2 linked regions of the Rattus norvegicus genome follow. The protein of the gene in region 2 binds, or shares a complex with, the protein of the main gene of each other region. Links are inferred from orthologs where the notes say so. Each region holds a gene or a part of one and is shown on either strand. Other genes may lie near its edges. The genes, in order: Fgf19 and Klb.

Region 1 (4,519 bases), on a different chromosome or scaffold from region 2:
TTCCTCTTGAGACAGATTCTTAGGTAGACCAGGCTAGCCTAGAACTCAAAGATCCACCTGCCTCTGTCACCTGAGTGCAGGGATTAAAGGCATCTATAACCACTTTAGGTCTGGATTTCCATTTTGAAACAGGTACCTCCTGGACCATGCTGACTTTGAACTCCTGATCCTCCTGCCTCCACCTCCCAAGTGCTGGGATGACAGACAAGTGAGCTCCACTGAGCTGGGTTTACGTAGTGCTCAACTGAACTCTGGGCTTTGAGCGTGCTAGGCAAACCACTCCACCAGCTGAACTCAGTTCCCCAGCCCCATCGTGTTTAAGACAGGGTATCACTCTGTGGGCTTTACCTCTCAGTGATCCTCCTGCCTCAGCTACCAGAAGGTTGGTATGTGCCAACGCGCCTGGTTTGTACCAATTATCCACCCCAACTGAGCCATATCCATGCAGAAGCTGGCAGTGTGCAAGTCTTCTGGCCTTTAACAAGTGACTTTAAGTTCTGATCACTATTTATCTGCTTTCCAAAACTCTGATCCCAGTTAGATTGCATTTTCTGGGTAGTAGCTGCAGCCTGGCCTGGGGCCAGGGATAGAGTGATCCTTCCTTGCTAGACCTGCAGCACAGGGAGCTTTTCTAATGCTGAGGTGGTTGAGTCTCCTACCATTGTGAGAGGAGAAGCCCCCTCACAGGCAGCCAGCCAGGATCTGCCTGATAATCCGCAGCTCCTCCCCCCATGCCCGGGACCAAGCCCACACCCTGTGGGTGGCCGGAAATGAGTGCTGTAGGAAGCTGTCCCTGATCCTCATCCCCAGTACCAGAATATTCCTAGTCCCTAGGCTTGAGGTATCAGTTGCAGTCTCCTAGACTGGTGCCACAGCCCCTTGGGGAGCCTACATGGCTCAATAAAACACAGGCTGTGTCTGCCTATGCATGCCGAGGTCACTGACCTGCAGGTGGAGACTGTTGGCAGATAAGGCTCTGATAACAGGCTAATTCCAAGAACCCATTGCTCCTGCCCTGGCTGATGGCACTAGGACAGAGCCACCACACGACAGGGGCCATGTTCCATGAAAACTGTGTAGATAAACATGGGATGTATTTCTCTTGGAGAATTCATATGGACAACTGGCCACTACCCTTTTTTTAATATAGGAACAATGGATTGTGGGGTTTCTATTTTTTAAAAAGGAGAGTTGGTGATGAACTATGCCCACCGGATCCAGGACAACACTGGAATTGGGGGTCAAAGCTCCCGTGGGCCTTCCTATACTATTTACATTAGTGCAGAATGGGGGTCGGACCCCCTGCTCAGCACCCTTGTCATAAATAACGGGAAGACACTGGCAGGAGATTTGCTTGGGTCTGGGTCAGCTTTCAGCCAGGCAGAGGACCTCCTCCTTTCTCTGCAGAATCCTTTCTCTCTTTCCTCTCTTTGTGGTCTTTTCATGTAGCTAAATCAACCTCAGTGCTGCAAACAATTTTGAGACTCTTAAACAGAAGGACGAAAAGGTTGAGTCCTGTAGCTATCCTCATAGGGGGTCCCAGCTTCTCCCAGGAGCCCAGAGCTAGATGGGAGGCCTCGGCCAAGGGACCTCACACAGCCTCTGCTAGTACCCCCAGAGGTAGGGCTGAAGGCTTCTTTTAACACCCAGCCTCTGTCCCTACAAAGCACTAGCCCACATACTTCAAGTCTCTGGATTTCAGGGGTTACCTGATTGTGGCCAGCACGCCTCACCCCAATTACCCGAGGCCCCAAGCAGGTGAGCATCTTGGGGACTTTCTAAAGTATTTCTAAATTTTACATCACACTGTGTACCTAGGACATAAAGATCCTTCCTTTTTTTTGTTGTTGTTTGTTTGTTTTGTTTTTTGTTTTCTTTTTAACTTGAGGGAGAGGAGAAAACCGAGGACCACACACGCAAAGCCTGGAGATGAAAAACGGAAGAGGCAGGTTTTCCGGTTCAATATCAAAGGGACCGAAAGCTGAATGGGACTTAGCAGCCAGCCCAGCCTTTGGAGGATTAGACAGCTCCACTGACCTCCCCATTTCCCCGCTGCCGCCTGGGGCCATCACTTTGCGCAGGGCGGGCAAGAGTAACATTAGCCTCACTATCATTGGTACCTTGCCTCAAGTTCCTTTAGGGCCTGAACAGGAGGTGAAAAAAAAAAAAAACAAATATGGACCCAGCGCGGCCCGGAGCATCCCGCCGCGTGGAGGAACACTCACCAGCCCGTATATCTTGCCGTCGGCGCTCATGCAGAGGTACCGCACGCTGCTGACGTCCTTGATGGCAATTGTCTTCAGAGCAACCGCGCGGAACTCCAACAGATCTGCAAGAGAAGGAAAAAGTTGCCTGGGCCCAGCAACACGTGGGTACAGCGGCGTCACACTGCCTCGTCCTTCCCCAGCTTAGTCTAGAAGTCAGGGGTGGGAGGATGTTAAAGCCACGGTGACATATCCACGTGCTCCTAGATCCTAAGGGACTCGAGGGGACACGCTGGTGGATACTCACTTCGTTCGTTCTGGTCCTCCTCGCAGTCCACAGAGCCGTCACTCCGGATACGCAGGAAGCAGTTGGAGACGTAGGGACCAGCAGAGTACAGGTACTGCAGGCGGGTAATCTTGCCCCAGCCATAGAGAAAGAGTGGACCTTCATCCGACACAGACTGGGATTGCTGGACCAGGGGACGCCCAGACACGGCCAGCCACAGAGTGGCCAGGACCAGAGCTCGGGCCACAATACGCCCACTCCACTTTCTCGCCATGGCACCTCGGGGTCGTGAAGGCAGCTACAAAGGTGGCGCGGAGACTGCGACGCGGCAGGGACTCGCAAGGCAGGCACAGCCCACAAAGCAATCGGGCGCTTGCAGCGCGGGGCGCTGCTGCTTCGACGGCGTTGCGGCTCCGGGCACGCGGCCTTATATACGTTTCGTCCCTCTGGCCCGGGTGTAGGTGACCGCAGTAGCAAGGCAGTCCTCCTAATTGCATCAAGTCTCCGCCCCCCGCACACACCCATTCAGCCCCATCCCAGTGACCCCGCCCAGGCAGGCCAGATCTAGCAGTGGAGGAGCCCCCTTTGTGACCAAGGCCGGGGGTGGGGTGGGGGGAGTGTTAAATGCACAGTGTCTTGATGGTTATTGAATAGGCTATTTTAATGTTACGATTAATTACTGAGGTCTTAAGGCCCTGGGCTTTCAGAGGGCTGCGCTTGGGACGGTCATTAGAGACTTAGAAGGCACGCAGAGCTCTGCCTCCGTACCCCCCACCCCCGTTTTGAGTCTTGGGTCTCTTCTTTGGCACGCTCTCGCAGATCGGATCCTCCCACATTCTCCAGCCCCAGACCTAGGCTCCCTATTCATGGATATTTGCCCTACACAGTGAAGACATAGTGGGAGTGTGTCGCGCTCACTAGGTGGCGCTTCAGCCCCAGTTTCGGCCTCCACTGTGCTGCCAGCTGCTCTCTGTGCGTCCTCTGCTTGCCTCGCGCGTGGACTCCACAAGGCGAGAGTCACTGGGGCTGTGACTTTGAGAAGGATGAGCTGACCAGCGCGCAGAGGCAGGGCAGGGGAGGTCGCGGCGTCCCCTCTTGGGTCGGTGATCAGGCCCTTGAGTCTGCGCGCGGGGGACAGCTGCGTACCGGTGAGGAGGGGGCCAGCTAGGAGCAACGGTGGACGCTGCTGGCGGTGGGTCAGGTGGGAGGAGAATGGGGGCCTCTCCTTGAGCCGCTCTTGCAAAGAAAGGAGGCAGCCTGCAGAGAATTCCCCGGCCTGGAAGAAAGGGTCCTCGCAGGGGGCTTTGGTTCAGCGCGTAGCCTTTCTCATTATGCCTCCAATCCCCCAACTCCTGGGTGTGCCCCCCCCCCCAAGCTGGTTTGGGGAAAGAGGTACTGGCCTAGCTCCGTGGTGATGGGAGGTCTGTCTGCAGGGGCCGGACAACAGAAAAATGGCAGGTCTGATGAATCTCAATGAGGAACACGCCACTTTCAGACGCCATCAGTGACTGGCATAAATGACGGAGCTCTGGGAGAATGTCACCAGGAAAGCCTTTACAAAAAGACATCACCGAAGGCTCTCAGGACCGGGGACTCCCATGCTGTGAGGCTTGTTTTAGAGAGCGATGTCTCCTGTAAAATCTAATTACTTCTCCCTTGTGATTCTCAATTGACAGCACGGACTATTAATCTTAATTGCCTTCTCCTGCCGCTTTTGTCTTAATGTCCATGATAAATGTGGGGTACCCGGGAGGTTGGCAGAGGTTTCACTGAGGAGTCCCCCCAAATTGGGCTGGAGGGTGACGTGCGGATGGCAGCACCCCAACCCTACTCTTCTCCCTTCTCAGGGACTCCCAGAAGAGTTGGAGATGTTGATAATGGAGCGCTCAGAGAAATGTCTGTAGAGTCCTGAGGGCCCCCATAAGAACATTCTTTTCCAGGGTGGATTTTAGGTCTACCTCTGAACGAGGTAGAAAATGGGATTCTGGAAAGTGACATCGTGAGAGGTGAAGATGGAGCCTTGTGTGTG
Region 2 (3,347 bases):
TTGCATAGAGAGAACATTCCACAGTCTTGATGCGGAGCATGTGCTATGCTCAACAGACACAGCACAAACATGTGATGTTCTTGAACCTTCTTCCTTCATTGTATTTTTGAAATGTTTAGGAGATGGGGTATCTCCTATACAGCCCAGGCTGGCTTCAAACTCATAGCAATCCTCCTGCCTCAGCCTCTTGCAATTATATTATAGGCATGCACCACTATTCTGAGCTATCATCCCCATCCCTCAGCCACTTTCAGGGATGGTGTGACAACCGGCCTCCTCTGAATGCATGTGCTGCTCAGTGACTCCTTTATAACCTCACCTGTGTCATCAGCTTACGACAGGGCTTAGACTCCGTCCTTCAACTGAGGGTACCAAGCTAATTTCCTGATGCATTTGAACTGTCACATGAGATGTTATATAACCTGGATTTTTAGGTCATGTGAGCTGGAAAATGGCTTATTAGGCTTTTCTCAAACAGCTGGTCTTCCTTCCCTGTGTGCGGTTCCTTCCCGGTATTTCCTGGCCTCCCTGGAGCATTGAAGGGCTAGAAGGATAAAAAAAAAAAGTCCTTTCTCCCACATTACCAGCAGAATAAACATCCTGAATACAGACTATTATGAAGGACAAAGTTACCATTTGTCTTGTAGTGAGAGGCTCAGCTCTTCCCATCTGACAGGTCGGGATCTGCCAGGAGCTACATTTGATTTACCTGGATGCGTTTGTTTCCACAGCCGGAGTTTACGGTGTCCTCCCCACAGTTTACTGATCCTCACCTGTATGTGTGGAATGTCACTGGCAACAGATTGCTATACCGAGTGGAAGGAGTCAGGCTAAAAACAAGACCGTCCCAATGCACAGATTATGTGAGCATCAAAAAACGAGTTGAAATGTTGGCCAAAATGAAAGTCACCCACTACCAGTTTGCTCTGGACTGGACCTCTATCCTCCCTACCGGAAATCTGTCTAAAATTAATAGACAAGTGTTGAGGTACTATAGGTGTGTGGTGAGCGAAGGACTGAAGCTGGGCATCTCCCCTATGGTGACGTTGTACCACCCGACCCACTCCCATCTAGGCCTCCCCATGCCACTTCTGAGCAGTGGGGGATGGCTAAACACCAACACAGCCAAGGCCTTCCAGGACTACGCAGGCCTGTGCTTCCAGGAGCTGGGGGACTTGGTAAAGCTCTGGATCACCATCAATGAACCCAATAGGCTGAGTGACATGTACAACCGCACGAGTAACGACACCTACCGTGCGGCCCACAACCTGATGATCGCCCATGCCCAGGTCTGGCACCTCTATGATAGGCAGTATAGGCCGGTCCAGCACGGGGCTGTGTCGCTGTCCTTACATTCCGACTGGGCAGAACCTGCCAACCCCTATGTGGAGTCTCACTGGAAGGCAGCCGAGCGCTTCCTCCAGTTTGAGATCGCCTGGTTTGCGGATCCACTCTTCAAGACTGGTGACTACCCGCTGGCCATGAAGGAATACATCGCCTCCAAGAAGCAGCGAGGGCTGTCTAGCTCAGTCCTGCCGCGCTTTACCTTGAAGGAGAGCAGGCTGGTGAAGGGGACCATCGACTTTTACGCACTGAACCACTTCACTACTAGATTCGTGATACACAAGCAGTTGAATACCAACCGCTCAGTGGCAGACAGGGACGTCCAGTTCCTGCAGGACATCACCCGCCTGAGCTCGCCCAGTCGCCTAGCCGTAACGCCCTGGGGAATGCGCAAGCTCCTTGGGTGGATCCGGAGGAACTACAGAGACATGGATATCTACGTCACAGCCAATGGCATTGATGATCTTGCTCTAGAGGACGATCAGATTAGAAAGTACTACTTGGAGAAGTACGTCCAGGAGGCTCTGAAAGGTAAGCTTTGGAGCATACAGAGAGGTGAGGTGGCAGAGGAATATATACTTGACAGCAGTGAAAACCTAGGCATAAAATTCACCACCGAGGTTCAGTCTTAGCAGGACCCAGGGCTTCCCCTTCAGTGAACCAGACTATGGGGGGGGAGGGCGGCAATGGGGGGAGGGTTGGGAGGGGAACACCCATAAGGAAGGGGAGGGGGGAGGGGGATGTTTGCCCGGAAACCGGGAAAGGGAATAACACTCGAAATGTATATAAGAAATACTCAAGTTAATAAAAAAAAAAAAAAATCAAATAACCAAAAAGAAAAAAAAAAAATTCACCACCGACTCAAGACCTGAGGCCCCCGGCTCTAGTCCATTGGATTTCTTCCTTAAAATAGGCCTTTATGATTGAATTTTAAATTTTTTGTTTTGTTTGTGACCATGTCTGTGTGGTCCTGTCTTGAAACCTGCTATGTAGACCAGGGTGGCCTTGAACTCAGAGTTCTGAGTGACCCAGCCTCTCTGCCTTCTGAGTGATGGGATTAAAGGCACATGTACCATCATGTCTAGCTAAATTTTTAATTTTTACTTTCATCATTAATGTTTTTTAGACAGGGTCTAAATAGTAACCTGAGTTGACCCCTATCCTGCTTCTGCCTTCCAAGCAGTGTCATTATAAATCTAGGCCACCACATCTGGACTTTTACAACGTGCCATAATCTCAATACGTAAAGTGGCAAAGCATTTTCTCCCCTGGGAAATCTCACTTCCCAAGAAAAGTGCCATCTGTTTTGGATTATTTCCAGCGAGCTTCCTAGATATTCCTAATACAGTTGAGCTGAGGCTTATAACTCTTTTGCCTACAATTTTTTTGGGAGGGGACTTGAACCCAAGTTCCATTTGGCTGTACTAAAAAACTACATCCCCATATCCCTAATTTTTATTTTTATTTTTTTGTGGAGCTGGGAATTTAACCAAGGACCTCGTACATACTCGCCAAAACACCCTACCACTGATCACTCACCAACTTTCTCTTTGTGGTGCTGGGGTTCAAACTCAGGGCTTTATGTGTGCTAAGCAACCAACCTCAAAGCAGTCACATAACTGGTTTTCTTTGTTTCAAGACAGGGTCTCGTATATCCTAGGCTGGTCACAAACTTCTGCTCTCCTGCCTCCCCCTACACTTGCAGGCATGTGTAATCACACCTGTCTCAACCTTTTTAAAACATTGGATGTGTTCCATGTCATCAAATCAATTTATTTATTAATTATGGATGCAGCATTTGCCTGCACATATACCTGCAGGCCAGAAGAGGGCACCAGATCTCATTACAGATGGTTGCGAGCCACCATGTGGTGGCTGAGATTTGAACTCAGGACGTCTGGAAGAGCACCCAATGCTCTAACCTCTGAGCCATCTCTCCAGCCCCATTATTAAAATTCTTTCCTTTTTCTTTTTCTTTTTTTTTTTTTCCGGAGCTGGGGACC

Evidence for each region.
Region 1: the proteins of Klb (region 2) and Fgf19 are in contact, whole or in part, in a crystal structure (PDB 6NFJ), measured with the Homo sapiens proteins. The link is inferred for Rattus norvegicus from reciprocal best matches to the Homo sapiens genes KLB and FGF19. Residues at the interface, in NP_783864.1 of Homo sapiens: Phe379, Lys380, Val392, Leu394, Trp419, Phe420, Thr421, Asp422, Val425, Thr431, Tyr434, Met435, Asn438, Tyr643, Glu693, Arg696, His743, Asn824, Phe826, Met832, Gln848, Phe849, Leu850, Gln851, Ile853, Leu862, Phe931, Phe942; in NP_005108.1 of Homo sapiens: Leu192, Thr194, Asp195, Ser196, Met197, Pro199, Phe200, Leu202, Val203, Thr204, Ser211, Pro212, Ser213.

Annotation. Positions count from the first base shown.
Region 1 is NC_086019.1:209,484,188-209,488,706, reverse strand, and holds the start of Fgf19 (fibroblast growth factor 19 precursor), read right to left. Parts: upstream 2,895-4,519; 5' UTR 2,765-2,894; coding exon 2,512-2,764; intron 2,330-2,511; coding exon 2,226-2,329; intron 1-2,225. UniProt on the Homo sapiens protein: Involved in the suppression of bile acid biosynthesis through down-regulation of CYP7A1 expression, following positive regulation of the JNK and ERK1/2 cascades. Stimulates glucose uptake in adipocytes. Activity requires the presence of KLB and FGFR4.
Region 2 is NC_086032.1:43,256,490-43,259,836, reverse strand, and holds part of Klb (beta-klotho), read left to right. Parts: intron 1-731; coding exon 732-1,875; intron 1,876-3,347.